Tamandua tetradactyla: one gene and its partners. The protein of the gene in region 1 interacts with the protein of each later gene in a pairwise test. Links are inferred from orthologs where the notes say so. Each region holds a gene or a part of one and is shown in the gene's direction. Other genes may lie near its edges. The genes, in order: ATF4, EGLN3, GOLGA1 and BFSP2.

What was found.
Region 2: the proteins of ATF4 (region 1) and EGLN3 interact in a two-hybrid assay, tested with the Homo sapiens proteins (2 studies listed by BioGRID). The link is inferred for Tamandua tetradactyla from reciprocal best matches to the Homo sapiens genes ATF4 and EGLN3.
Region 3: the proteins of ATF4 (region 1) and GOLGA1 interact in binary tests that used the Homo sapiens proteins (3 or more experiments, as listed by UniProt). The two-hybrid records come from large-scale screens. The link is inferred for Tamandua tetradactyla from reciprocal best matches to the Homo sapiens genes ATF4 and GOLGA1.
Region 4: the proteins of ATF4 (region 1) and BFSP2 interact in binary tests that used the Homo sapiens proteins (3 or more experiments, as listed by UniProt). The link is inferred for Tamandua tetradactyla from reciprocal best matches to the Homo sapiens genes ATF4 and BFSP2.

Annotation. Positions count from the first base shown.
Region 1 is NC_135333.1:32,071,875-32,078,760, forward strand, and holds ATF4 (cyclic AMP-dependent transcription factor ATF-4), read left to right. Parts: upstream 1-4,289; 5' UTR 4,290-4,495; intron 4,496-5,059; 5' UTR 5,060-5,151; coding exon 5,152-5,377; intron 5,378-5,476; coding exon 5,477-6,300; 3' UTR 6,301-6,377; downstream 6,378-6,886. UniProt on the Homo sapiens protein: Transcription factor that binds the cAMP response element (CRE) (consensus: 5'-GTGACGT[AC][AG]-3') and displays two biological functions, as regulator of metabolic and redox processes under normal cellular conditions, and as master transcription factor during integrated stress response (ISR).
Region 2 is NC_135340.1:20,112,000-20,120,090, forward strand, and holds the start of EGLN3 (prolyl hydroxylase EGLN3), read left to right. Parts: upstream 1-5,007; 5' UTR 5,008-5,356; coding exon 5,357-5,713; intron 5,714-8,091. UniProt on the Homo sapiens protein: Prolyl hydroxylase that mediates hydroxylation of proline residues in target proteins, such as PKM, TELO2, ATF4 and HIF1A. Target proteins are preferentially recognized via a LXXLAP motif.
Region 3 is NC_135328.1:47,074,862-47,082,124, reverse strand, and holds the start of GOLGA1 (golgin subfamily A member 1), read left to right. Parts: upstream 1-4,246; 5' UTR 4,247-4,363; intron 4,364-4,378; exon of another isoform or gene 4,379-4,804; intron 4,805-5,146; exon of another isoform or gene 5,147-5,196; intron 5,197-6,078; 5' UTR 6,079-6,244; coding exon 6,245-6,379; intron 6,380-7,263. UniProt on the Homo sapiens protein: Involved in vesicular trafficking at the Golgi apparatus level. Involved in endosome-to-Golgi trafficking. Mechanistically, captures transport vesicles arriving from endosomes via the protein TBC1D23.
Region 4 is NC_135341.1:77,189,565-77,197,725, forward strand, and holds the start of BFSP2 (phakinin), read left to right. Parts: upstream 1-5,147; coding exon 5,148-5,636; intron 5,637-8,161.

The DNA of each region.
Region 1 (6,886 bases):
TCTGTTCATCAGAATCAAATAGAGTTAAAAAATACATACATATGGCTGTGTGCTACCCTGGAAAGTTTGAATAGTGGCAGGGGTTGGGGCCCAGTCGCTGATAATTCTCATACACCTATCTGGTGTCCCTGAGAAGGAAGAGGAAAGGGAGGACTTGATAGAGTGTTGAAAAGCAGGGATTTTTCTTCATCAAGGTAAAGGTTTTGGTTTCCCTGCTCTGGTGAGTATTATAAATTTACAGTTCTCCCAAGCTGGTGTTTCTGATCAAGCTTCATATAAGACACTAGAAGGAGAGCTTAAAAAAAAACAAATACATTAAAAAAAAAAATCACGACCAAATCAAAGCCAAATACACAGGGGAAATGAGTTTACTGCCTCTGTTAAAGAACTTCTAAGAGCATCTCTTAACTATGTCACAAAACCAAAAACCATCATTTTGCCATAATACCAGTAAGAACCTCTTAGAAGTCCTCAGAATTGGAACCAGCAGTGGGAATTCTCAGCGTAGGTCCTAGAGAGTTTGCTGCCTCTGACTAGGCAAGCCACTCTCTTGGCTGCCATATTTATCATAAAATGTGGAAAATAATTAAGTGATTTGAGATTTTTTGAATGGAAGGGGATAACATTCTAATTTGTAGAATTAGAATGCAGATGCAGTGGATTTCCCCTCCACCCTGCCTTTTTATTCCATAACTCCCACCTTTTCCTGAAGTTATAGTATCTGTTCCTACTCTGTTTGGAGAAGATTGGGTTTTTTTGCACCATTTAGGTTAGCAAACCATATACTCAGCCTAATGGTTAAAAAATAATACACCCATTATCCTGAAAACCCTAATAATCTCTAAAGGTTTGGTTTTTTTTTTTTTTGCTTTGCTTTTCTGTCACCCCTTCCTAAAATAAGAATTCAGACAGCAGTATTCTTCTTTATATGATCGGTTGTGACTTAAAAAAAAAAAAGTTAAAGCTCATGTTTGGAAAAGTTGCACTGAAGAGGCCTACAGTGTCTTGGACTTGCCCCTGCCAGTCTAAATGAGATGATTTTGCTCCTTTGTATTCCACTCAAGGTAAGAGCTCAAAATTTTTCGAGGAATCAGATTCAGGATCAGGGCCTCTCCAAGAGAGACTGTGTAAGTAGGGATCACTGCATGTGTCAGGAGCCCTCTGCTAAGTTATTCATTACTTGGGTCTCTGACCCTGGCTGTGAACTTCTGCTCTTGGAGGATTAGAGTTCTGCCCTTCCTACCTAAAGTTAAAGGTCAAGAAGAAGAGTAAGAGGCACTGAGGTTAGTGCTGACCCTGCACCAGGCTGTGAGGCTGTAGCCCTTTGAGATACTGGTGACTAAGTGACCAAAATACCAGACATGTGGGTTTTGGGGTTAACAGCCTACAGGTTATTATCTACCTTTTCATCTTGATCACCTTGTAATCTTTAAATTCTTGGTCTCAGAGGTTGAATCCACAACTTGCCTTGTCACATGGCTGTCCTTCAGTGGCAGTTGATGTGGAATCAGTCGTCAGTCTGTCCTGTCTTGGCTAGGACAATATAGGAGCATCTTAACCCAGAGACCTAGAGAATTGCTATTTTTTTTCCTCCTTGAGGGAGGAAATAAAGCTGGGGAACATGATGTCCTTCCACAGAGTGGGGAGAAGAAAATAAAAATCTCCAACAACTTTGACTTTTGTGCGTGGTATGAGACATTTTCCTATGGGAATGGTACTGGGTCTCCATTTTCAGCTTGGAGAACCTTTGAAGTATTTAATCTTGGTTACCAGAATAAAATGGAAGGGACAAGCTGCCACAGGAGTCATTCTTCCATTACCTCTTCAGTATCAAAACTGGGGCAGTGTTAAATACTGTTCTTAATTCTCAACTATCTGCATGGTCATCTGTCAGCACTGCTGTAGCAAAAAGGCCATGCCCCGTGGGCCCCCAGGACACCTTGTAAAAGACTAGAACACAAGACAATTTAATATTTTGTACCCAGGACACTAGACAACTTATGTATGTTCCAAAACTTGTGATTCCCTAGGAGGAAGGAAAATGCCACACTTCTATCTCAGCATACAGTATGCCTTGTGTGTATTTGATGTTTCATAATTTCTGGCTTCATTTGCCAGTAAAGATTAGCAGAGTTCCCTCAGGAAGGAGGATGATGTAAAAGATTTTGTGTGTGTGTGTATGGGTGGGGGGGAGGGGGGGAGATTGGGAAGTCCGGGTCAGAAAATCTGAGTCATAATAGTAATAATAGCAACCTTTTATTGGGCATTTACCATGTACCAAACACTGCTGAGTGCTTTCCATATATGATCTCATTTCATCCTTAGAAGTATACCTCCATTAGCCCCATTTTACAGATGCGGAAGCAGGATCAAAGAAGTGAGTCACTTAGCCAAAATCTCCCAGCTAATAAATGGTGAGGCCAGGATTCTTTCAGGTTTGGCCCCCCAAATCTGTCTTCTAGTCCCTATCCTATGCTGCCTCTAGTGGAAACTATTGACTGGGCAACACGCCTCATCCCATTAGGCCTGTTTGCCATTGTGAAAGAACTGGGCTAGAGTGAATGCAGTCAACAAATGATCGGTAGTTCTCTAGGACAGTACTTCCCAAGTTCCTCAACATCACAGCCCTCAAAACAATGATCCTTGATTGGCTCATTGAGATGGGGGAGGAAACGAATCTTTTGCTGCCTCCTGCCCCTCCCCGGGCCCTGCAGCGAGGTTTCACACTGCAGGTTCCAGAAACGCCAAACACCAGTAAGTGTATGTGGGTCCTGGAGCTTTTCACAGGGCCATTAGTGATGTGTTGGGAAGTTGGCTATGCCTGGGAATTAGTTGAAAGTAATTCAAGAGTCTACAAGATGCCAGTCGAATAAAATCCTTTGTTAGGAGAATTTAATCTATAAAATCCAAAAAAAGTTCCCTTATGAAAAACTGCATGCCTTAATAGGAAACTTACTTTAGCAGAATGGATAACGTAAAAGTGCAAGTTAGGCTATAGGATTGTGCATCTTATTCGACTTTACTGGAGGTGGCCTTTGAGAGAGGCAGGCATGGATCAGGTGACCTACCAAGATGAGGACCCAAAATGAGTGTCCATCCAGTTTCCCCGTTCAACTTTTAAGAGATCTCATGGGGTGAATACACACATTAAGTGGCTTCCCTTTTTTGCTTAGTTTTGTCTTAAGCCCTCCCTCGTTGGCCTAAAGAGAATTCACAAGGAGCGGCTCTCTGGCCGGCCAGGAGAACCTGCACAGCAAGAAAAAGCTGGGTTTTCTTGTTTTTACTGAAGTCGGTGGATTATTCAGCATGCCCACGTTCTACTCAACTTCTCTAACTTCGTGTTAGTGCCCCAAAGCATTTTTAGTATAAGTTTGCCGTTCACTTTTTCCTATATTAATACACTTGACTCCCAAGCCTTCTCGGGGGCAATTTTTTATTAGCTATTTAATGGTGTCCCTGATAGACTGAGTCGGCACCCGCTACGGGATCGCTTTGTAAAACGAAGTAATTTCCGGGCCGGGTAACTTCCGAGGGCCGTTCCAGGTTTGAACTCTGCCTAATCTGTACAGAAGAAGGAGCACAAGACGGGCGGAGGGGGTGGGGGAATCCGGGGACAGAAAGCTCGACTCAGACATGGACCCGATTGCCGCTTCGGCGCCTCGCGGAAGTCGGCAGGAAGGAACTTCGTACCGCACTGGGATCGAGCTGCCCAAGGCAGGAAATCTGCGCGGTCTGGCCAGAATTCCGAGAAAAGTAAGTGGGTAGCGCAGCTGAGCGGAGGGAAACATGCTGGCCGCCCCGCCCCTTCCCGCGCATATCAGACGCTCCTAAACGAGTAATCCGCCCACCTAGGACTTGAGCCAATCGAAGTAGGAGATATATATGACTCACCATGCCTGGGCCAATCAACTCGACGCGCGCCCTAGCTACCGTCTCGCGCGACAACCAGGTGACATCGGCCTTCCTACGAAGGGCTTTTCTCTCCCCTCCTACCGAATTTACACTGTGTTGGCGGATCCTTCCGCGCTCACCGGCGGCGGGGGAGGGGGAAGGGTGGACTCTTTGATCTTAGAGGCCTCGTAAAGGAGTGCGCTTTTTCTCATTTCGTGAGGTCTTTAAAATAACTCATTTTCTCATCCTAGTTATACCTCAGACATCAAGGCCGTGGGCTGGAACCGATAAGTGTGTCACACAGGCGAAAACGAGGGGCTGGTAATGACGGTCACGTGACGGCGGCGGAAGGATGCGTTCTGTGATGTGACTGTCGAGGTAAAGTCTATAAAGGACCCACGCTGCGCGCGCCTCCGCCATTTCGCCTCTGTCCATATATGTTGACATCAGCTAGTGCCCCGGGCTTCCCCACCTCCCCTCCCGCAGGGTCCGAAGCCGCCATGGCGTATTAGAGGCAGCAGTGCCTGCGGCAGCATTGGCTTTTGCAGCAGCGGCAGCAGCACCAGGCTCTGCAGCGGCAACCCCCAGCGGCTTAAGCCATGGCGTAAGTACGGGGCCCGGCTGTTCGGGCTCCTCTCGTCCCTGGTTCGGAGGGACTTGGACGTGGCCTTACAGCCAGGGCAGCGTCGCGGAGGGGGAAGCGGTTTTACGAGCGCGCCCGAGGCGCGTGGTCTCTATTTAGTGTCCCCGAGACGCCCCTCAGTCGCGACAGCAGCGCACGGGTTCGAGGGCAGACGCTCTTCGGCTTGCCGCCCCCTCAGCGCGTCGAGGGTCCCACCCTGTGTTCCGCGAAACGTGGCGGGGGCCAAGATGGCGGCGGGCAGGGCGGGAGCGGGGCGGGGCCCCGGCCGCTCTGGCCGTATTTGGACGTGCGGCTGGAGCGCCTTCTCTCGGTGGCCGGTGAGGGAATAGCCGAGTCTCCGTGGGCCTCCATTTTGTGTTTCCTAACACCGGAAGCGGGAAAGGTTGACCCTGGAACGCCATGGCCCCCATTCTAAGAGGACAGCTCAGTGATTTTCCAATTTGGCCACCGTTCCTCACGAATAGAAAGATGAAATTCTCAGTCAAGGTCGTCTCCAATGGTGCTTTGTTTCGGATTCCTACCCAGGCTTTTCACGGCATTCAGCAGCAGCATTGCTGTAACCGACAAAGACACCTACGAATTAAGCACATTCCCCGAGTTCAGCAAAACCCGGCAACATGACCGAGAGGAGCTTCCTGAGCAGCGAGGTGTTGGCGGGGCACTTGATGTCCCCCTTCGACCAGTCGGGTTTGGGGGCTGAAGAAAGCCTGGGTCTCTTAGATGACTACCTGGAGGTGGCCAAGCACTTCAAACCGCATGGGTTCTCCGGCGACAAGGCTAAGACGGGCTCCTCCGAGTGGCTGGCTGTGGATGGGTTGGTCAGTGGCCCAGACATCGGCAAGGGTGAGTAGAAGTCCTTTATCTGTCAGTGTGGGTCCACTTATCAGGGGTTCTGGTGATAGAGGATGGCTGTCTTGCAATTCTTACTCTCATCTTTTGCAGAGGATGCCTTCTCCGGGACAGATTGGATGGTGGAGAAAATGGATCTGAAGGAGTTTGATTTTGACGCCCTCTTCAGTTTAGGTGACCTAGAAACCATGCCCGAAGAGCTTTTGGCCACATTGGATGACACCTGTGATCTCTTTGACCCCCTAGTCCAGGATAAGGAGCCCTCCCAGACAGAGAACCCAATTGGCCATCTCTCAGAAAGTTTACCAAAAACTAACCATGTTGCCCCCTTCACGTTCCTCCAACCTTTTTCCCATTCTCTTGGGGCCCTGTCATCCACTCCAGATCATTCCTTTAGTTTAGAACTAGGCAGTGAGGTGGACATCTCTGAAGGAGAGAGGAAAGTGGACTCTGTTTATGTTACAGTGATCCCTCAGTGCATAAAGGAGGAGGATTCCCCCTCAGATAACGATAGTGGCATTTGTATGAGCCCTGAGCCCTATCTGGCCTCTCCCAAGCATAGCCCCTCTACCTCCAGGGGCTCTCCAAATGGGAGCCTGCCATCTCCAGGTACTCTTTGTGGCTCAACCCGCCCCAAACCTTATGACCCTCCTGGGGAGAAAGTGGTAGCAGCAAAAGTAAAGGGAGAGAAATTGGACAAGAAGTTGAAAAAAATGGAGCAGAACAAGACAGCAGCCACTAGGTACCGCCAGAAAAAGAGGGCAGAGCAGGAGGCCCTCACTGGAGAGTGTAAAGAGCTGGAAAAGAAGAATGAGGCTCTGAAAGAGAGGGCGGATTCCTTGGCAAAGGAGATCCAGTATCTGAAGGATCTGATAGAAGAGGTCCGCAAGGCAAGAGGGAAGAAAAGGGTCCCCTAGGTTTTGTAGTCCAGAGTGTGTTTGCTTGTACATAGGCTTGCTATGAATGTGTTGTAATAAATTATTTTGTAGTGAAAGTATCTGATTTCTTTGCCTCTGAATAAATCTTGGAACTACATTTCAAAATTAGAACAATTGTAGGTTTGCCAAAAAATGCAGAAAGCAGAATTCCCATATACCTACCATACTCTTTCCCCAGCAATGTTTAACCTTGTGTAAGATATTTCAGATTGTACTAAGATCCATCCGTTAAAGCGGTTTAGGGTTGGATGATACTAAAGTTTTCTTAACCAAAAATCTACCACTTTATCCAGTCAGGCAATTCAGTGATGTCACCATCCATTGTTAAAGCTTCCCTGGAGATGGCTTTTTAACCTACCTTGTGTTACTAGGGGTGTTTTCCTATTGGTGTGATTTGATATGGCCTGGTGGTATAAACAGGTGGCTTGCATTGGGCCGCCAGTTATGAGTAGAAGTGTGTACTCAGAACTTTGGCAGTTGGCTGGGTGTTCTTCCAGGAACGAGGGTGGGGTATCCCTTGAATGGTAAGCTACTGCTAGTCCTGTAGGATGACTGGGAGGAGCAT
Region 2 (8,091 bases), on another chromosome or scaffold:
GTTGGTGGTGGGGCAGTGTATGGAATCTGAACTTTATGCATGATTGTTCTGTAAACACACAATTTCTCTAGTAAAAGTAAAATCTAATGAATAGGAACATCTTTGGAAAAGCCTTTAAAATGCAGCAAAAATTGTTCTTTAAAATATCCCATATTGAGCTTGACACTACTGAGCTTCTACTATCGTTGTCATGTTTCTAGCCAGAGCTTTTTAGACATTTCAGCTCAAGTGAGAGTTGGATTGGAAAATATTAATGCATATCCTTGATATGTCACATGTCCCAGAATCTGCACATGGCCAGCATAATGAAAGAGAAAATGAAAGAGGATTGAGTTTAACCATAGACTGAGAAAGAATTAAGAATTGATATTGAAACTCACTTTCCTTGCCGTCCTGTTACACCTGGAGAGGAACAGGAAGGCCTGACTCCACAGGGAAAGGGACATAATCAGATGCTTCTTTCTCTAAGCCCAATTCATACCTGTGAGCTCAAGATATACAAATTCACTTCAGGTACTCTCCTCTTATTTTTTGCCAGCTCCTTTAAAATTAACTGCATTTCCTGTGTCCTGAAGGGTAAAACTGAGAAACACAGCTGACTGAGGTGGTAGCAAATTACCAATGGCTAGTCTCAACAGACCTATACATAACTGAATTTATGTTGGATTCCTGGAAACACTGGGCCGTAATTGGTATGGAGCAAGGGAGAAACCCTAATTTGTAGTTTGGAAAATAACTCCTAATGTAGTCAACTAAATAATTTATGGTAAGTTTTGCTTATCTACCTATGGACCCAACATCAGTAAGGAAACTGATAATTAAAGTTGTCACTGCAGGTTAAAGCGTTCCAGCAAAGAGTTATAACAAAAAGATGACTTAATGGCAAAATCATTTCTATTCCAAGCAAGCAGTTCAAACTGATATTTTCCTTCCTGAGCTCAGTATATTGGAATCTCTCAAAATTTTTCCAGCGTTGTTATAAACTCACTTACTGTGTGACCTTGGACAAATTCCATATCTCTGTTCCTCATTTTTGTCATTTTCACAATGGGGAATAATAGTATCTATTTCTTTGTGTTGACATAAGAATGAATCAAGGTAATATTTGTAAAGTTTTTATTGAAGTGCCTGGAATATTCTAAGTATTACAAAAGTGTTGGATAAATAAATAAAATAGCCTTTGGCTACCTTAAGTCATTCAATATAATAATAAATTTCTTGATGATATATGGGCAAAAACACAAAAAAAGAATATTTAGGGGCTAGTTAGGAGGGAAGGAACTTCAGGCACAACAGAATTTTGAAGGAACGAAACAAATTAGACACTTTTTCATAAATAAGAAAGGATGTGATGGAAAATTCATACAGTACTTGTGCATGTAAATTATAAAATGTAGTGTAAAATGGTTCAGCCACTATGGAAAACAGTTTGGCAGTTCCTTAGAAAGTTAAACACAGAATTTACCATATGATTTGGCAATTCCACTCCTAGGTACATACCCTAAAAAACTGAGAACAGGGACTTAACAAAGTGTTGTTTGCAAATTCATAGCAGCACTGTTCACAACAGTCAAAAGGTGGAAACAGCCCCAGAGTCCATCTGTCAGAAGGGGTAAACAAATTGTTGCATATGCATACAATGGAATGTTATTCAGCCGTAAGAAAGGAATGAAGAACTGATACATGGTACAAGGTGGCTTACCCTCCAAGTGAAAGAAGCCAGATGCAAAAGCTCATTCATTGTATGATTCCATATATATGACATATCTAGCATAGGTCAATCCATAGAGACAGAAAACACATCGGTGGTTGTCAGGGGCTGGTAGGAGGGGGCAATTGGGATTAACTGCTTGATGGTACAGAGTTTCTTTTGGGGTGATGAAGATGTTTTGGAACTAGATAGAGGTGGTGGTTGCACAATGGTGTGAATGCAATAAATGCCACCAAATTAGTCATGTTAGAAATGTGAGTTTTACCTCATTAACAAATAAATAACATTAAAAAAAATTAAAAAGAGGTGAGTTGGATCGCTTTGTTAACTGCAAAGACAGAAGCATCCCAAGCTTCCTCTTCCATTCACAAGAAACATCTTACTTAGAAAAGTAGCTTAATGTCCAGCCCCTCTGGGCCATGGCTTTCTATATGAAAGTGAAGCTGGACTGGGTGACCCCTAAGATCTCTTCAAGTTTGAATTCCAAGGTAAAGAAATTCAACAACCCTCCTCACCCACATGCTTGAAAATTCTTGCATCTGTATGGCAGATGCTCACTGGAAGACAACGTTGTTGTAATTAAATTACAGGGAAATGAATTTGTTTTAGTTATCAATATGAAAAAGTATTTTAATATTCATTACTATAATGACTCAAATTAATGAGCAAAGTCACAAAAACAAATGCACTTCAAAAATTAGCTTGAGATTTGTCACTCTGATGCTCAGTTACAGAGCCTGTGTGTGGCTCCAGCCTGTCTGCTCCCCTCTGTGTAATCACACACTGTGATTTCTGCCAGTCTCTGTATCTCTGTCTTCTCTGCCAAATGCAGTATGGGCAGCCCCAAGCTGAAGGAGATTCTTGATTAATAGGTGCCCTTGCCAAGCAGGAGTGGTGCCAACAGAAATGAATTCTTCTATAAACTGCTCACACTTTGCAATCAGAGTACTCTAGAGCAGTTTTAAGGCCACCAAACAGTCACTACAACTTGCTTAGAATTATTGTTACAATGTGGATGAACTATATAGCAAAGGGCTAGTTAAAGATTTTCTCCCCTTCCTCTTGTGACAACTTTACTCTGAAATTATTCAAATATTATTTGAATAGTAAGCCAAATTTACCTAATCTTGGGATTTTAGAGTGGGGTCAACATGTTCATTCTAGGTGGCAGGTTTATAATTTTCTGTATTTTACTTTTTTCTGGTGTTCTATAAATTCCCTCCTAATTATTCCTAGTACCATCAGGTATATTTATAAAGGACCTTCAGCTAGAAAAAATTCAACCAGCTATCAAAGGTATCTGCCATTTTCCCCACTTTTAATTCTGGCCCTCTTCAGGAATAGCTACTTCTGAGGTACACACAGTCTCCCAAACTGCCAGATCCACAAGCCTCTGCCTACCAGGACCTACAATCAGGCTGCCTCCCAACTAGGTGTCCCCTGGTCATCCCATTATCTATAATGCCCCAGATTACTGGGATTCCTGGCTATGTGAGGTTCAGGCAGAAGGACCTTCCTTCCTTTTGGTATTGCATATCCATTTCACTCCTTGCTGCACATGGGCTGTTCCTCCAGCTTTCACTTTAGGTTTCTGGCTTCCAGCATGGGCATCCACCACGGTTGGCTGGGGAGACAAATCTAAGAGACAAAAATCCTGTATAACACCTAACTGACCCTCTCCACAGGCCTCTGAGGTTTGGTTTGGGACCTGGCTGATCGGCCTGCCACTTCCGTCCAGTCAATACTCTGGAAGGCTCTTCAGTTCCGCATGCAAGCAGCTTCCTTCAGCAGGCTCCCACACAGGCCCAGACACGTCTGAACCACACATGGCAGTGGCCATAGCTCAGGGTCAGCCCCCAGTTTCCCAGTAATTATTTTTTTAGGCACCTACTATGTGCCCGGATTTGGGGATCCAAGGATGATGATTTCTGGCCATCACAGACCTGCTATGGGAATCTGGAGGACAAGTCCTTGAGTGCTGGCCGGTTCAGGCCTTTACCCCAGGGGAAAGGTGCCAACTAATTACCAAAGGTAGGGAACCTCCTCTCAGTATAACTAGAAATTTTACCAAAGTTTCTTAAACGCTCCAACATTGACGTCTCCCAGCACCCATGTGCCTCTGTCAGCTTTTTTCCCCATCATATAGTAACAATGTCCCTTTCTTATTCTACTTCTTGTTCTGGGTCTAGACTTCACTTAGTTTGTATCTCTACATTTCTCTCTTCAGACATAGAAAGGGAAGGGCTGTTAAAGGAGAAGAGAAGTGAAAAAGCTGTAGTAGATTGTGTATGAAATAAATGTACTTGTAAGACCTGTATATTCTTTTGTGCAACTTAAATGAAGAATTAGAGTGCAAACAAATGGGAAAATTATAAAATAGGCAACAGATATGCATGCAATTTATGAAACTTCCTTTCTTGATTCTGATCTCTGCTGTTTGATTTGGTAGGAAAGACCAGTAATTCATAAAGCAATCAGCTGACCTTTGAATACTTAAAAGTTTCACCCCTTCTGGGTGATGCGGTCACTTGCTGGGAAAAGTGAGAGGATGGATCCAGAATAGTTTTATCTTTTTGAGGGCATACCTATACTGAGCATCTGATTAATTTGGAAGGTAAAATTTCAGAACATCATCTTTTCGTTGGAAGTTTGAAAGGTAAATGTCTGAGAACATCCAGAAAAACAGAACATTTGCAGGGTTCGATCAGATATGGCCCAGAAAGTATTTCTTCACTGTGCACATTCCCGCTCTTTGAGAACATAGGGACTTGCACGTAGTAGGAGTTAGGAAAATGTTTGCTAAGGTGCTAATTTTAGTTAGCACTGTTTTGCTTCCAATCCTCTCAGGGGTTTGAAGCCCCTGACCAGGGTCACACCGCAGGGGAAAGGGGAAAGGGGAATAATAAAAGCACGAGGTAAAGCTAGAATGAGACGACGGCTTGACATATCTAATTTGTTGCTGGGTTTAATATTTTTGTTCAAAAGCCTGTGAGGTGAGCAGCCCAGATTGTGGCAACATTAATTGTCTATGCCGTTAATTTCATCGACACTTTCAGATTTTCGACACTTCAGATTTTCGAGTTTGTCATGGGGGTTTATGCAAAAGCACATGCAAATCGATAGCGTTTGGAAACTTCCCTCTGTGCTCCAGCCCCCCTCGGTGTGACAAACAACCCAGGCTGGCGCCGAGCTCGCGGAGAGCCTCCGCGGAGGGGGCAGGGCAGGGAGGGAAGGGGCGGGGACGACGGGCGGGAGTAGGGGTTGTCCCGGAGGCGGGACAGCTCAGGAGTAGGACCTCAGCCTCTAGCTGCCTCTCGCCGCCGCCGCCGCGTCCGCGGTGGCCTCGCATCTCTGCTAAAAGGGGCTCTCCGACTTCTCTCCAGGCCAGTCCAGGGCTGAGTCCTGCAGGTCGGCGCTGCGCCGTGGAGCCCTGCACTGCTCCCGCTGGGCCTTGGACCGGATCCCTTCGCCCCAGAGTTGCGCACAACTTTCCTTCTCTCCGGGCTGCGGTGGCTCGGGGACCGTGGCCGCCGCAGGTAGTTGAACCCCTAGTCAACGCACCCCGCGCCTCTTCTCCGCGCACGCTTAGCTCGTTCGCTGCCGGAGTGCACAGTGGGGGCCCCCGACCTCGGTTCTGCGGACGAGATGCCCTTGGGACACATCATGAGGCTGGATCTGGAAAAAATCGCCCTGGAGTACATCGTGCCCTACTTGCACGAGGTCGGCTTCTGCTACCTGGACAACTTCCTGGGCGAAGTGGTGGGCGACTGCGTCCTGGAGCGCGTCAAGCAGCTGCACTGCAACGGGGTCCTCCGGGACGGCCAGCTGGCGGGACCGCGCGCTGGAGTCTCCAAGCGGCACCTGCGGGGCGACCAGATCACGTGGATCGGGGGCAACGAGGAGGGGTGCGAGGCCATCAGCTTTCTCCTGTCCCTCATTGACAGGCTGGTCCTGTACTGCGGGCGCCGGCTGGGCAAATACTACGTCAAGGAGAGGTCTAAGGTAGGACGCACGCGGGCACCGGCGCCCCGCTGCTGCTGCCACCCGCAGGGATTGGGAGCGTTCGGGAGGCAGTTGTCTGCCGCCTTCGCAGGGTTGCAAGTTTTTAATCAAGAAGTCAGTTTTGTCTCCTGGCACCTCTGAGCCAGAGTCGCTGGTAAGGGGCTCAGGTGTTTAATTTTAATGGTCTTCTGTTGACTTTGAAATAATGGCTCCAGTGAGTGCTAAAAGCTAAACAAGCCGTGGCTTTTGGTCTGATTTTAAGAGACTTCCGTTCTCCGAGATCCAAACGAAGGAAAGGATATTAGAAACACTGTGTGTGATCTGAGGCACACGTGTACTCATTAGCTTAAATGCCTGCTTTAAACTCATCCAGGATGCCCCTTCATTGTGTTCAGAAGGGGTTCCTACAAAAGCACTCAAAGAGTTCTGGAGAGAGCTGTGATTTTGCAACGTGGCAATTGGTTTGTGGAGTGTGTGGCAGGTGTGGAAAGAGTTTGGCTTGTGAAAGGGTAAAACACCTCCATTATAAAGTGAAAGGTCCCTTCTTCATTCTGAGGGCTGCTACCCTTGACTGGTTGGACCCAGCACATTATTAAACCATCCACTTGGTTGTGAACATGTGTCCAACATTCGCCACTGTCAACTGATGGCAAAATCCACTCAAAACAACCGGTTACGTGATCAGGAGAGAGTAATCAAGAAATGATGGAAAGAAATGATTTCTTTGCTCACATAGCCAGAAGTGGCTCCCTGAGTGGTAATTTTATCTTGTTGACGTTTACTGGGAGATTGGCAGAAGTAAGGGAACATGTAGGTACCATGATGTTGTTGCACTTAGATTACTTTGGGATGGTCAAGACAGGCTGCCTTTCTTCAAATGATAGACCAGCCATTTTTCCAGTGACAGTGCTGTGATTTGCACTTCTTTTATGGCGGACTCTGAAGTATAGGAAAGTTTTATTCAAACAGTCAAATAAAGCATACCAGCAGTGACCCATTCCTTAAAAACATCTGCATTTCTCGATTCAAGATTGATCCTGTGATAAAACCAACCATTGTAATCTCATTTTCCCATAAGGTGAAAGATTGGGGTGGGTGAATGGAGCAGGGGACAAGTAGGTTGTTATATTCCTTTCAAGCCTGGAGGGCAGGAACAGGGTTTCTGAAAAGCATCATAAATAATCAAATCAAGTAAATATTAGAAGAAAATTCTGCTTTCTAGATTTTACTTTGATTTGAGGGAAATTCAGTTAGCTGAATTCTGTAGAAGATTGCTATTACAGTGTTTCTTTGCTCTTCCATCTTTCTTGTGGTGGATTAGAAAGTCGTTTGTCTTGATTAGCTTTGATTTTGTACTGTGACCTTGCCTGTCTCCTGGGATGGGAGAACTGGGTGGGGCGGGGTGGTGGGGAGGGTTACTCAGCAATGCAAAGTTGCATGGAACTTCAACCTGGAATAACAAATGGCTTATCTGTTTTTTGTGTTTTTTTTTAAGGTTCTTTGCAATTTAGAGTTAGGAAATTTCCCCCCAGGATACTAGGAACAGAATCTGCTCCAAGGGAAGTCAGAATTAATTGCTAGAAAGAGGTCACAAACATTTGAAAGTTAAATTTTATTCTTTTGCTTTGACTTAATGGATGAGGGTGGGGTTTCAGGCTACACTTTAACTTGACGAATTGAATGACAAGTATTGTGTACCTCAAAGTGAGGGGGAAAAAAAATCTCTAGATATGATTCTTCAGGAGTGGTTTATCTTCTGGGTGGAACAAGTAACTTTGCAGATAACTTTCAGAAGGAGATTGTAAATTAAAATGAGAAGGTTCATTTTGTTCACTGAAGAGTTGGGTTTAAGCACCATCTGTCCAGACCCAGATGTCCCGCTTTCCTTTGGCTGTTTAAAAATCTTCATTCCTGTCCTTCAGAAAATTCACCTCTACATTGGTATATTCATTTCCTGGCCCCTTAGAACCAAACGCAAATCAGGCTTGAGCTAAAAATGATAGTCAACATTTTTAAAAGCCTGATATGCTTATATACAGAAGTCTCCTAAGCAAGGTCTAGCACTTGGGTCTCTTGTTTGAAACTCATTTTTAAAGCATTGTAGAAATGCACACATTCCATTTCCATTTGATTTATATTAGTTTCACCTTCATTTCATCTTTGTTCACTTCTCTTCCCTCAGTGGTATCCATTATTCTGAGCTACTTCCTAAAGTAATGATACGAACTTAGTTTCCTGCTCTCTCTTCAATCAGGTTTTCAGTAAAAAGTAAAATTTTAAAAGGCAGAATTTGCACATTTATTTTAAAAATGCATTTGTAACTTTTTTTTTATTAATTAACGGAAAAAAAGAAATTAACCCAACATTTAGAAATCATA
Region 3 (7,263 bases), on another chromosome or scaffold:
AACTCATAACACTTATAAATTACAATAATAAATTTAAAATAAAATTTATAATAGCATTTTCTTAAATGTTGATAATGTACTATTTCTGAAAAATCAGTGAAAACATCCCAGGGTCTGATATTCTGTTTTTTAATTAAAAATTTATTGCAATTAGAGAGTAACAGAGGATATGTTATGCTATTAAAAATTAATTAAATTGACTTAGCATCAGTGTGCACATTAATTTCAGGAGAGTGGCAGCAGTAAAAAAGTTCAGTAGATAAGGCTAACATTGTGAATATGATCTCCAACCCTAGCATTTGTAAAGCCAGTTACTTTGTAGTCAGATGAGATAAGAATTAGAAAATCAAGACTTTCCCTCCTTTATTATATCTCCTGTATACTTATACATTGATATTTATATTTATTTTGCTGGGCTTCCCAGTTTTCCTGAATACTATGTGCATTTTGCATTTTTTTTCAAACAATTCATCTTCTCCAAAACCAGAATTGTAAAACATAATATTACACCATATCCTAGCCTCATTAAGTTTTGAACACAGAGATCTATTTAAGCATGTCTTGTGTTTATGAAAAGATCATTGATGTGTGACTGAAATCAGTCACCTAGAAGAGAAGAGTATCAGAATGATGTAGGGGGATAATATTAAGTATAACTTAATCTGTTGTTGCCATAGCTGTAGACATGAAATTTTTTTTTCGTTAAAATAGGCATTTTTCACTTACTAGTTTTGTGTAATATTGATTTTTAAGAAGACTTCCATTTCTACAAAACATTGTTACTTAACTTGATTTAAACATCCATTTCTTAATTTTATAATATTTTTATTTTCTTCTGTGCTTTTAAAGTTAGTTATCAAACTACTCTAAGTAGTGCAAGTTTTAACAAAGTCAAACAGTAGATTCAGGACTTTTAAATAGTTTGAAGTACACTGTATTAAGTATACACTCCAGATCCACTTAGTTAAACCTGAATTTGGTGCTAGAATTGACTATAAATTGGGAGTATTTTTCCTATTTTAAATGAACAATAGCCGTCTATATCCTAAGACAGTCATCCTTTTAGGTATGGCTAATTGTTTATTGAGACATAACATAAGTTATTTCAGGGGTCAGATTTAAAAAAAAATTTTTTTCTTTTCAGGTAGTCTTACAGAATAAAAGTTGATAAACTGATTGTTTCAATTTCTGAGTAAGATAAGGAATTAAGGCTAGCCTTTCCACAGAACTTCAGTAAACTTTAACATTTTGTCTTTTTACTTAAATATCCTGTTTTGAAGCTCTTATGAATGTCTATTTGTTCACAGCTGAAAATTGAGATTTGTAAACATTATAACTTGAACCATAAATTTCCTCAAACATCAAATCAGTATGATCAACCATTGTAAAATGTGAAATGATCGTATATGAACCCAAAGTAAATAATTCCAAAACATAGAGGAATGACCACTGTATTTTAAAAGAATCCCATCCTCTTTTGCACATTATTAATTTTTTTCTAAATTAGAAGTATGTATTGTGATGTATTAAAAATCTTCAGGGAAAAATGTTTAAAATGTTTTAGGGCAATAAGAATTTTTATTACTATTTCTTGAAGAATAAGTTGGTTTTTACTCTTGATTCTTTATTATAACATCATTTAAAAGAACTTCTAATGATCAGTAAAATATTTTAGAACTTGATTTTCATGGTTTTTTATAGTTATCTGGATGCATTCCTTTTGCCACATAGACCATATGGTTAGTTCTCCAAATGCTTTTTGTTTTGAAATAAACTTTTCTATTCAACAATCAGAGTCCTATATTTTTGAGGATTCTTCCAGATGAGGTAGACAGGTGTTAGATAATAGGAAAGGCAGATGCAGTGTCCTAACATTTTCATAATACAGCTTATCAGTGAAGGAATTTATTTAAATAAGTTATATTCATTATGTAGCATCAGTGTAGACAGTGGTTTCATTAATCAGTGAATCACATGATGCAATTTAAGTCATTTTGTATTTTGCACTGATTATTTTAATTTCAGGCCACATTACTATTATCTCTGAGCCATTTTCACCGTAAGGTTGAGTACTGTTTTGCTTTATACAAATCATCACCAAAGGTTAGGATAATCAATAGGAGTTAAAATAAGTTATGCTTGAACTCTTTTTCCTTGAAAATAATGGCAACCCATTTGTACCTTGTGGATATCAGGCAGAAATGCACTTGTTTAAATCATAGCAGAAATTACATTTGGAGGATATAGTTCCTTGATTTTCTGGTGGTGTGAAATACTTTTTTAAAAATTGTGCTTGTCTGTAACTGAGATGTAATACTTTAAGGATTATAGAGTTACATTAGTTCTCCTCAAGAGACTGAAGCACAATCATTTTCTCTTAACAGTTCTTATCCAAGTGCTGCTAATCTGTAGTGCAAATAATGAAGCTTGGTTGTTTAGATCCAGCTCTTGCCAATCACTGTAATATTACCTTGACATTACCTTGTTGCTCATTTGTATTAAAATTTGAACACTGTGGGTTAATACTTTAGAACAAAATCCATCAACTCAGCTCTGTTAGACAGCAAACCATTTGGATTCAGTCATTTTTATACATGTTATTAATCAGTAGGATAAACTTTGAAGGAGCTATTTACTACTGTTGACTAAAGGGGAAATTATATTGGCAATAGCATTTGACTTGAACATTTGTGGTATTGTAAAATCTTGTCTCCTGTTTCTAATTTGCTTAAACCGTACATACTCTTAAACAAGGATGTTTCCTGTTTTGTTCCTTTACAGTAGCCTTTTTCTGCTTTGTTATGGTTAATTCTTAATAGGTTTTAGATATTGAGAAGTTATTGAATCATTTTGTTTTCTGGAGCTCATCAGTTTCAACTTTTGTATGATATGTGATATGTAACAAAGGACAGCAGCCTTTCAGTAACTACTAAATGAATTTCAGAGTCAACACTGTTTCTGCAGAGCAGATTCAGTAGGCCCTTGTCTTTCCAATGTTTTCTTCTGTTGTATAGTGCCTGCCACCTCAAGGGCGCTTTATATTAGAGGATGGAAAGTTAAAAATTGTTTTGAGGTTTAATGAATAACAAATTATACAACATTTGATTTTTGTTGTCAGTGTATTGAAGTCATTTTTGCATTGATAAATGTTCTCTTGGAATGTGACTACATTCATCAGATGTGAACTGTTGTAAATGAATTTTGTATCTTGAATCCACATATATAAGTGTATCATCAACATAAAAATAAACAGTTTTGCTTAAATTTTTGGTACTTCAGTATTGTTGACGACTTAGACACTTACCTGTTATGGTGTGCTTCTTTCAGACAATACTTGAGATGCTTTGAACTATCTTAGGGTTGTGGATTAGATGCTTATTATTCTAGTTTGTAAATTTCTTCTGAGTCCTGGTCTTGATTTTTCCCTGTCCTGCTTCTAGTGCTCAGAAATGAACAAGCAGAGGCCAGAGGTGGAAGCTGCTGACCCTCGGACTGGCTTTAGGTCTCACGCAAGAACAAGATGTCTATTAACTTGTAATGCTTGGCGTGGCACTGAGGAGTCAGATCTCACGTCCGCTACTAGTTTGCAGTGTAACTTCGAACAATTAAGTGGATAATAAAATTAATGAAGTGGACTCTCATCCACTTCTCTTTTTAATAGTGTATCAGTGCATTACATAATAAAGGTATACACTATGTGTGTTCCGGGTTGCCATATAAAATGTACAACCTATAGTAGGTCAGAAGCACACAAGTTAAAACACTAGTACAAGGCGCAAGTTCCCACTACTAGTTTCTGGAGCAAAGGCTCCAGAAGAAGGAGGCACAGACAGTCGGTGATTATGTACTACCTAGTGACAAGGCAGACATGTGAGATGCAGTGGACTGGGATGCGCGAAGAGGAATGGAATGGAAGCTCCCTGTTGCCCCGGATTTCTATCCAGCACAGCCGACTTTAGCCCTACCACACCAGTGAAATTCTTTCCCTTTTACCACGAGACCCTCATACTTTCCTCGCTCCGCACAACTTTCAAATAAAAAGAAGGGAAGAAATTACTCGGCAACAATCGTAATCTGTGTACCCCACAGCTCGCTGACGTCGCTTGCAGGCTGTAAGCAGCGTCAGATACCAAACCTGCATAGTCCGGCCGTTCCGGCCCAACCGTCGCTTGAAAGTTCGCACCCAAGGCCCCGGAGTAAGTGCACGAGCGCATGCGCGAGCAACGACTTCCGGTGTTCTGGTGGAGGTGCGGTTCCGGGTCGCTGCTCGGCCGGCCGGCTGGCTGTGGGGGCTGGTGACGCGGTCCCGCGCTCAAGAGAGGCCCGGGAGGCGGGGCTTTGTCGGCTGCCCCAACAGTGGCAGGTGCGCAGGCGGGGGCTCCGGGTACCGAGCAGGCCCCTCTTTTGCCCTGTGGCCTCGGTTTGCCGCCAGAGCGGTCCGGACGGGGTGCCCGAGACCCTGGGCAGGGGGCCTTACCAGGGTGCTGAAAGGGCGAGGGTGGTGTCGGCGGGCTGCCTCGGCCTGGGCGTCCAGAGCCTCGGGATCCAGGATTCTCCCTGCGCGACCTTGGACAAGTCACTCCGCCTCTCTGGGCCTCAGTTTCCCTGCTGTCAAAAGGAAGAGGCTTTGGGCCCCAGCCTTGTTTGACAGCCCCAAACCCTGGCGGGTTTCCAGAGAGTGAAGGAGTGTGATTCAAACTGCTACGGGTGGCCCTGGTCAGGTACCTACCTGCCTGCCTCTCTGGGCATTTGGTTTACCCAAGTTTGCCATTTTTTTCAGCGGCTTTCTTAGTGCGAGTCAAAGGTCAGTGACCATATATCCCAGGGTCTGGCCAGGTAAATGATGTATGACTGTCAGAATCAGCTGGGAAACCTTAATCTCTTTCAAGTTGTTTTGCTCAGGGCTCCCAACGAGAAGTGAATTTAGGGACCTACTGCAGTGAGAGATTCTTTGTACCATAAGTGTAGCTTTTAAGAAAATTAAAAATGCAAAGAGACTAGGGTAAGGGAGGTTAGACTACTGAAGGTGGTAATGACAGGATTTTTTCCCCCTTAACCCACTCTCCCTCTTCCCACCATCCCCAAATACTGAGGCCTCACACTTGAAAGGAAATATCCAACGTATTTTGTCTTTGTTTTCACGCAGGACAGAATGCTTTGACTTCCAGGCTGTTTTAAATCTAGTAGATAAGCTAGGTGAGTAGGTGGTTTACAGACATTGAAGGTCAAGTTTTGAAAAATTGCACAGACTTAAGTGGATGATCTAAAGGGGTGAAAAATCATTTGTAGATCTTAGAGCAGAACCTAGACAACCTTCATGAAAAATTAAGATTGAAGCAAGAATAGTAGTGTTTTATACATCAGTGGGAGGAAAAGATGCATTAATCTGATGTTAAATATTATTTCAAACATTCTGAAGAAAAGAAAAGTGTGATTTGGGTTAATTTCATCAAACTCAAAAGAGCACCACTCAACATTTCCAAGAAAAGTTTAGGGATTTCTGATACCTATGCAAAATCGACCATGCTTTTTTCTAGGTTGTTAGCCTCTGTTACAGAGGCTTTTCCCCATATTGAGTTACATATATTTTTATTCTCATCTTTTAAAAAAGGCACCAAAGTGTAATTAAACAAATTAGTTTTATTGAGGGAAGGATTTAAAAGCGTTATGTGATGCTATGTTTATCGTGGGAAATTCTATAAATGCTATAGCTGTATGCTATAGCCAACATGCCATTTTATTATTATTTTCAATAATAATAATTATTTAAAAAAAAAAAAAGAATAGGGACTTGTAAGTCAGAAAGACCTGGATTCAGATACCAGCTCTGCCACTTAGCTACATGATCTTGGGTGGATTACTTCATCTCTCTAAGACTGGATTTCCGTATCTTTGTATGCATATGAAGTACCAGAGTGCTTTTTTAAATGTTTAGTATTTGTGGTCTATTAAGAGTACATGTGAAGTTATGAGACTAAATTTTGAAACCTGAAGGTTAACATAAATATGAAACAGATTTCAGAGGTTGAAATCTTTCCAATGTTTAACTTAGAGTTGTCTCTTTCATCTGATTTCTAGATACTGTATTGCCATAAGCCCTTTTACACACATTTAAATGGGAATGCAGCTGGCTCCGATGTCTGGAACTTTTTAGGCACCTGTCACTGAATCCTGGTTGTTGGCCTTAAGGACTATTTGGTGGTTCAAGAGCCAGTCTATAGTGCAGAATATCCACATAGCAAAGATGTTTGCAAAACTAAAAAAGAAAATCGCAGAAGAGAGTGCTGTTGCTCAGAGACCAGGAGGTGCTACTAGGATCCCCCGGTCGGTGAGCAAGGAATCTGTTGCCTCTCTGGGAGCTGACTCAGGAGATGACTTTGTAAGTATCTTCCCTGGTAGTTTTGAGTATTTGGTGCCCTCTCAATTTAATGTTTAAATAATATTGCAGGAAATTTTTGAAATATTTTCTTTTTAAATTGCATGATTATTTCATAGCTTTTGTAGTTTATAGCTGAACAAGACCTTCACATGTGCTTTTTCTTTCTCTGGGGTGCCTTTCTATATCATTTTCTTATTTTTCTGTGAGTCCCTTTCCACATTCTCTACGCTGTCCTCTTATAGTTCTTTTCCATCAATATGCTTTGTGCATCTTCTTTTACATTTAATCTTTCAAAATGCCTGGACTTGTTTTCTCCCTACTTAACTAGGTCTATGAGTTGTGGTATGAGGTTAGCCAGCGTGTACTGTCTTATTGGGAAAGTAGATAGAAATTTGTCAAAGATGTCATGGATGACCACGTGTCTCTTATTTTTAAAGTACCCTTGTGGTTGGAGAGATTCCAGAAAATGAGGAGGCTGCTGTATTAGGGAACTGTCATGCCTAAGGATTAAAGTGTGTTTGGCATGTGGCGGGATCCTCTTAAATCAGATGACTTAAAAAAATGCCTGATAAATATAAAAGAATGTATACAATGTATATATAGAGTATAAAGCATAAAAATTAAATGAAGTCCTGTTAATCTTCACCCATCTGAAGAAATAGAACATTATCAATACTCTTGAAGCTACTGTATGTTCTTTCTTAATTCATTCTCTCCTTCCCATCTCTGTGGATAACCACTATCCTAAAGTTTGTGTGTATTATTCACTTCCTTTTTAACAATTTATTGCTTAGTGCTGCTAATTTTTGAACTTTATAAGAGCATTATATCATAGGTAGTCTTCTTGGAGTTGCTTTTTTTTTTTAACTGAACATGTGTCTCAA
Region 4 (8,161 bases), on another chromosome or scaffold:
ACCTCTCATGCCTTTGTCCTGAGATGACCTGTAGCTTCTGACACTAAGGGTCGGCAAAGTTACGGCTTTCCCTGCTCCTCCAAGTTCAGATCTGGCCTTGGATCTGGATACAGCCATTTGGTGGCCCGCGAATGTTTGCCATTCCTCGTGGTTGTGACCAGAACCCTGCTAAGGCCATTCCGGCGACCTCCTGAGCAGAGGGTTTCCCCTTTTTAGGTCTTTCTGTTCTTGGAGCTGTGCCGAGAGGCTGACATTTTCACTCCCCACCTGTGGTGCAGTCACGCACAGATTCAGATGCGTTTGGCTCAGCACATCGAGTACTACCAGAGATGGGAAAGTAATCCTGACCGGGCTCTGGTACAGTTTGGGAGTGGGAGAAATTCTCTCTTGAAGAGTGGCTCAGCATGACAGGAGAGGAAGAGAGGTGGGCAGGTACAGGTGTGTCCAAGGAGGAAAAGCAGACAGGTATCCCAGAAGTCTGGGGGAAGGAGGTGTGCAGGGGAGTCTGGGGCCCTGGGCACCCCTGGTTCTGCCCACCTGGGGCATGGGGCCAATTCAGGAGGCAAGGAGACGTTTTAAGAAGCTACTATGAAACTCTGAAAGAGGAGCAAAGAGTGCCCCACACCACTGCATTGCCAAAGCAAGTGTCCCACGTGTATGTTTCTTTAAGAAGGGCACCTCATGAACCCGTCCAGCTCACGCCACCTCCTCCCTCTCTGTCCCCAGGACCAGCTCTCAGAGCCCCGCTCCCCCGCCAACGGCGACTACAGAGACACCGGGATGGTCCTCGTAAACCCCTTCTGTGAAGAAACCCTGTTCGTGGGAACCAACCAAGTGTCCGCGATCTAACGACAGCAGCTCCAGCTTTGCCATTTCCTACTTTCCATTTCTAAATTATAGATACACACAAATATATATATATATTATAAATATAACCTTTGTGTAACCCTGACTTAATGAGCAACATTTTCAGCTTTTTTTTCCTAAGAAGTGTCAACATCTTTTTTATAAGTGTGGTTTAAAAAAAAAAAAAACAACTTTACAGAACGATCCGTGGCTTTATAAAATAAAGGTATTTCTAAGCAAAGCAGTTGCATTGATTGCTTCTCTTGATGACTGTTCTTGAGTATTTGGGGGTCCCTGGAGCCCCAGGCAGGTGAAGGAATAGACTGACCTCCCATGGAAGCTTAAGTCCAAGTTGAATGTTAGAATGGTCAAGTGTGTGGCCTTTTGAGTGATTCTTAAAGCACTGATTCCTATTCATGTTTTTGTGACTCAGTTTCCTCCCCCATCACATGCACACCCATGAAGGGTACCAGGCCGTCTGGGGGGACGATGGCAGATTCGTGAATGAAGCAGGGAAAGGACACCTCATCACCCCGGAAGATGAGTACCCCGGGACCTCGCAGCGGCACCATTTGCTGTCAAGTTTAATTCCATCCCGGAGCCTGGATGGCAGGCAGAGCACACAGGCCTCAGGAACCCACCAGGAAGCCATGGCATCCCAAGGCCACATCCCCTTCGCCCCGTAAGACAGGGCCTCCCAGGCCAGCCGGACACCACAGGACTCCGTTGCCCTGGCGGAGAAAAGTCTTCCCTCTAAGCTCCTTCCTACTTCCCCCCCAACACTGACCTCCGGGTTAAACACATGGCCTTTCTCTCGCGGACGGAGAGCCCAGCCTTCAAGCTTCCCCTTGGTCAAGGATCAAATGTTTACTGGGGCTTTGGTTCGTGTTCTCGAAAGGCAATGGTGTGCCCCCGAGGACCACGTTTATCCAAGAAGCCTTGAGGTAGGTCTGTGATTTTGGAAATCTTCCTCCTGTGATCTTAAATAGCAACATTGCCAAAGCGAACTGGACACCTTGGGAGAAGGCACCCATCCTATCCTTAGAGCATAACAGAAATGCATGTGGCGTCAGTGGATGGACTTGCCACCCAGCTCAGCGTTTTCCCAGGACGCGGCTCCCTGGGCTGTGGCCGCTGCTGCCGGGCCCCTCTGGGCCCTCACCCAGCAGGCGACCGGGCTCAGACCCCCGGAGGCACAAGAAGGGCTTCCGGAGATGGGCTGCTTTCTGTTTATTTTTAATAGATGGTGGCTGGGAGAGAAGATAACTGCTTCGATGCTTCCTTTCTCTTAAAGAAAAATAGTTTGATAGTATATTTTGAATATAGATGTTGTTATAGTCCGGTTGGGAATTGAACTTGAATGTGACTCATATGTTGGTGTCGTTGCTGTGGTATTTTTATCACGGTTTTTTCCTTCCTACATTTTGCATTTAAAGGGAAAAAAAAAAAAAAGATGGTCCTCGAAAATGTGTGTTCTCAGTGTTGTATGACTTACTAGACCTGGGTTTGGTTGCTGTTTTCTTCAAAGACTGTTCAACCCATAAAGAAGCAGATTAAATGTTGTTCTGAGATTCATTTTTCTAACATGCTGCTGTCTGACCCTTTTGACCTTAGCATAACATTTCTGTTAGCTATTGCATTTAACATATCAATGTGCGTGCGTGCGTGCGTGTAGAGCGAGAAATCTGTTTGTAAAGTGAAATCCATATATAATATATGTAATCCAAGATACATATGTTATATATACATATGTGGGTGTATGACTTATTTTTCCTTATCCACAGAATTCAGCTACCATGTATATATAAATAAACTTATTTTATTAGCCAGAGGATTAAGTTGCTAATACATTTTGCGTTTCTTTCATTTTACAATAACTCCTAAGCGTTCCTTAAGCACTACCACCACCGCCTTATGTCCATCTGTGTTTCTTAAAATCTGATTTAACAGTAAGTTGGGTTTTATGAGTGTGATGAGCTAATAGGATTAGCAACTTTATCATTTGATAAAACCAATCCTTTAGAGAGTGTTTGTCATTTCTTCGAAAGAGAATCCCGTCTCTTAGGTTTGTTGAGACGCCGGTGTAGGTTAAGGTGCGTTCCCTCCTCATTCTTCTCCTCCCCAGGGCTCAGTGGATTTACTGTCAACATCGTTAGCACAGAGAGACCCAAAGTCGTCCTGGCCGCTTCAGGTTACCATGCAGGGGCGAACAGCAGTGCTGGAAGATGACACATTCGCAGATAACCTGCTCAGTGGCTTGGACCCTTCATTTTCACCTTGCACGATACATCCTGGAATTAACAAGAGTGCAGATGCTGGGGCCCTGTACTTACCACCTCTGCTGGGAGGGTGTTGTTATGACACATTCTCACGTGTGTCATAGCCCCTTTAGAGTGCCCCAGAGGTATCATTCACAGCAAAAATGTCAAATCTAAATAAACAGGGGTAACCACTGGTCTTTACTTGATCAAGTTAGTTCCTTAATCTGTTAATCAAATAACTAACATTAATATATATAAAGTACCTCCTATGCCATCTCATAGATAAAGTAAAAGAGGGAGAAAAAGAAAGGAAGTGTTTTGGTGTCCTAATCAGGAGCAAAGAAGAGTACACAGACTATTCTAGCAGGTGACCAGGGGTTTTAACTCTGCCTGTGTGACCTTGGGTGGGTCATTGCTCTCTGGATGCTGAGAAACAGAGGTGGTCCTAGATAAGTCACCGAACTAGGAGTCAGAAGAGGCCTTTTCCTAGCTCTCTCTGGACATGAGACCTTGGGCAGGTCATTGAAGCTCTTGGGTTCCTCATTAGAAAATGGGAATAATGGCCAATTGTTGGACGTGTTATGATACTTCCAGAATTGTGCAGTGTGCAGCCCATATGACAGTACATGTCAATCCTGTGCCCATCTCCTATAGTTGAAGTGAGAATTCAGGGAAATAAAGTGTGGAAATCACACACAGCCCTGGGCTGGAGGTGATTTCACGAGAAGTGGGCTCCTTCCCTTTCTCTCACTCGAGGTGTATTCCCATTGCAGGATCTGGAATAAATATCCAGCACTGGTTTTAGTTACCTGGTTTCTTCAGAGCACAATTTAAGTGCAGTGGCTTTTGGGTCCACGTTTGAGGGTCCTGGTTCTGGGGCATCCTCTCTGGATCTGGAGAAGTGATTGCGGTGTGACCCTGAAACATGCCTCAGTGGATGCTGAGGGTAGAAATTAAAACCCAAGAGTCATCAAATCCTAACTTCAAGCACCCTTCAAGAACTTATTGGAAGACCTCTCTCTTCGTTGTTTTTATCTGTTTTCTGAAAGATGGTGAGAGAGAAGCATAGGGGATGTTTGTGGCATCGTAGGTGCACGGCATGTGTGGGACGTGAATTTTCCCGAGGTCCTTATCTAGCGCACAGAGTTAGAGCCCCTGGCCAGTGCGCGGGAAGTAAGGTCCAGAGAGGTGTAGTAGCTTGTCCAGTGCCAAGCAGAGGCCCCACCACACTGAGCTCCCTCTCTGAGGGCATCTCCCATCTCCAAAAGACTCACACTCACACACAAACACTAGACAAGCCTGCCTGCCTCCACTGCCAGGAAGGGATGTTACAGGGCAGAGATGAGAAGGAAAGGGTAAAAGGAAGTCCTATAGGAACCTGCAGCTTCTGCCAGGGTTGAGGGCGGGTGAAGGAAAACTGAACTTAGTTTATTTCTCCTGACTCCCTGGGGCTGCCTCTTCCATGGCTGGTTCACAGCCATTTCATCCTCTGATACCTGGGTGTACATGTGTGCACATTCACACACACACACCAGCACAGGGAGGAATGTAGAAATGCACTGATATTGGGCCTTGAACACCTGCACTGTGTCCTGGCGCAACCCTTCACCACACTTGTGATGTGAGGCCCCTGCACCTCAGTTTACTCATCTGTGAAATGGGGCTATCCATTGCCTACCTTGCACTCTCAGGAAGCAAAAAGCCCTGTCCACACAAGCTCTGATTCTACAGACCCATTTGAATCACCCCCACAGCCGGCACTGGTCCAGCCTCCCCCACCCGCAAACAAAAATCCTGGCAGTCCAGCACATGACCCTGCAAAGAATGCATAAGCGCCTCTGCATGCAGTCCCAGGCAGGACCCATTTCTCTTTCAGTTCAGTGAATGATGGAAACGCGTGGAAGACAGCAGACAAAGCGGCCCTGGGGATAGAGAAGATTCCAGAAAGGGCTGTGACCAGGCCACAGGGACGCTGGGGCTGGAATCCAAAAGCCCCAGCGCTCTGCAAACCTACAGGGCGCAACAGAGGCAGAAGGGGCGATGAGCCAGCGGCGAGAAGCGGGGGACGTGCCCCCCGGTGCCAGCTCCAGCATGCCCCTCCAGAGGCGGAGGGTGTCCTTCAGGGGGGCCCAGTCTTTGTCTTCCCTGGAGAGCCCCTCAGCCTCCAGGGTTACGGTTGCGGGCGGCCTGGGACAAGCACCCCGGGTCTGCGTAGGGATGGCGCCCACCGGGAGCTCAGGTGGCCTGGGTGCCCGCGTGACCCGCCGGGCCCTGGGCATCAGCAGCGTCTTCCTGCAGGGCCTGCGGAGCTCGGGCCTGGCCCCGGTGCCTGCTCCAGGCCTGGAGAGGAAGCACTGCGCCGCCGAGGACCTGGGGGAGTGCCTGGTGGAATACGCCGCCAAGGTGCGCGCGCTGGAGCAGGTCAGCAGGGAGCTGGAGGCGCAACTGCGCGTGCACCTGGAGAGCAAGGCCGCGCACGCCGGAGGCTGGGGCGCCCTGCGCGCCTCCTGGGCTGCCAGCTGCCAGCAGGTGAGTGTCGGGGCCGCACCCAGGGGCGCTGCAGGGGGCCGGGGGGAGGGATGCCGAGGTCCTCCGGCGTTGCCAGGGCCGAGTCAGGGGCTAGGGAATGAATGATCTGAGGCCGGGGAAACTGGCCAAAGGCCGTCATATTTTCATGCTGAAAACTCTCCCCACGGTACGTACAATAAAATCAACAGTGGCTCCCATTTACTGAGGATTCGTAGCGCCAGCCCCTGTACCTGCACCGTCTGCTGTAATGGTCCCCGACAGCACCGTGCAGGGGCTCCATCATTGATTCCATCTTTCAGATGAAAAAACTGAGCACTAGGAAGTTAAGTAACTTGACGGGGTGGGGGGTTGGGGGCTGGGGGTTGGGGGGCTCGGGGGCTGGGGGGGGTGGTAAGGCGGTGGCACTAAGAATCAAAGCTGAATTTTCATGTCTCGGATCTTGCTGTCTCTGTCAGTCTTTACTGTTGAGAGAGGTTTGTTTTTGTTTTTCTTTTGTTTTTTTAAGCCGCCATCAAATTCAGTACCACACCAAATGTCTGTGGGAAAATGGAAAGTGTTCCTGTGTCCATTTATAATAGCCTAGTCCGATAGGAATATCATATGGGCCACATAAGGCATTTGTAAGTTTCTATTAGCCACATTAAAGGAAGTGAAAAGAAACAGGTGAAATTAATTTTAATGTTCTCTTTTATTTAACTCAGTATATCCAAAAATGTTATCATTTCAACATGTAATCTACAACAAAATCATTGAGATGCTTTACATTCGAATGGGACTTTATGCGCATGATGAGAATGGTTTATGTCTGCACTGCCTGATCTGTAACTGCTAGCTGCGCGTGGTGATTAAGCCCTTGAAGTGTGGCTAATGCAACCGAGAAATTGAATTTTTTTTATCTTATTTAACGTTCATTAGCTTAAATAGCCACATGTGGCCAGTGGCTATCATGGGTGGGGCAGCACAGGGGGCTTCAGCTTTGTGGCTTGCTTACTCAGGCAGGCCCTGCTCTTGCCACTCTCCAGGGTGATTCTCTACAGAGCACCAAGCTCACCCGTCATGCCTGCCTGCAGCCTGTGGTCTACTGCTGGGACTCCAGCCAGCATTGCACAATTCCTCTGGTCTCCTGTGGGTGGCTGGCTTCCCCCTACCCCACCCCCAAATGCTGGCCTTGGGGTCCCTGAGCTAAGTCTTCCTCTAACCCAGCCAGGAGCTGCCACATGGCCCCCGCCCCTCTGGGGCCAGCCCGCAACCTCCCAGGAGGATGTCACAGACCCTTGTTCGTGTATTGCCGTGTAACACCGAGCAGCTGCTCAGAGGGCCTCCCCGGTGCCCCTCCTGCCTCCCGTTTCATCCCAAGGTGCTCCTCCCACATCCTTCTCTGTCAGTCAGTGCCAGGCTAGCAGCCCAGCACACATGATGGACACGCCGTCCTCCCAGGCTGTCTGCCCTGCTGCTGCTGTCCACGTGCGTCCATCTGGCTGTGAGGGGGGCCACCTTAGAACAGTCTGGGGCCCGAAATCCTGTCAGCTCCAGGAGGCAGCCACTCGACTTCTCTGGGCCTGTTTCCTCTTCTGTAAGACGGGTACAGAAATGCCTAGGATATTACAGCAGATCCGTAGGTAATTAGTGCGTGGTCCCTGCCCACAGCAGGCCGCCACCCAGAGGCCGTGGCAAGCAGGGAGAGCAGGGCCACCCAGGGCTGCAGAAGTGAGGGGTGGCTGCCAACACCCTCTGTGCCCTACCACTGGTGATCAGAGCCCTAAAAGGGGCTCATTTCCCTCTTAGGTGGCCATAAATGAGGCCCCAGATAGGAAGACAGAGTTCTCTTCTCTTTTTCTTTTTTTTTTTTTTTAACTGTGGACTTGAAGATGCATTTAGACTAATGTAGAAAGATGGAGTTGTTATTTCTATATCAAACATCCCAGGCTTTTAGCCCAGGTTAAGCGCTACTTCTCTGAAAAGAAAAAATTTTTTTTAATTCTACTTATTTAGGAAACATACATGATTTTTTTTCCTTCATTATCACAAAACTGACCTTCACCCTCACGTCCCCCACCATGCCAGAGCATGGGCCGTAGACAGCTCTGCCGACCGTCTGCTGTCCGTCCTGGTCCCTCCACCCAGCCACCAGGACCATCTTTCAGCCCCTGGGATCCAACCACATCAGATCCCTTCCCACAACCCCGGGCTCCCCATCACCAGCGGGACACATTTCTGATCCTGGGATCAGTCAGTAGGGCCTCTCTGAAGCCAACCCTCTGCCTGATCTCACCACTTCATGTCACAGCTACACCGCCTCCTGGGACCCCGGAGCACACAGCGTGTCCTCAGCACCCCTGCTTCTCTGTGATACTTCCTCTGTTCCTTCTGTGATCCGGGACAGGCTGTGCCTGCATCCCCGCAGCAGTTGCCACGGTGTCCTCTAACTATTTGCATGCTCATGTTCTCATCTCTCAGCCCAATTGGGCAAGCATCAGGTCTCTGCACAATATAGAGAGTGAAAAGGGCATCAAGTAGGAGGCAGG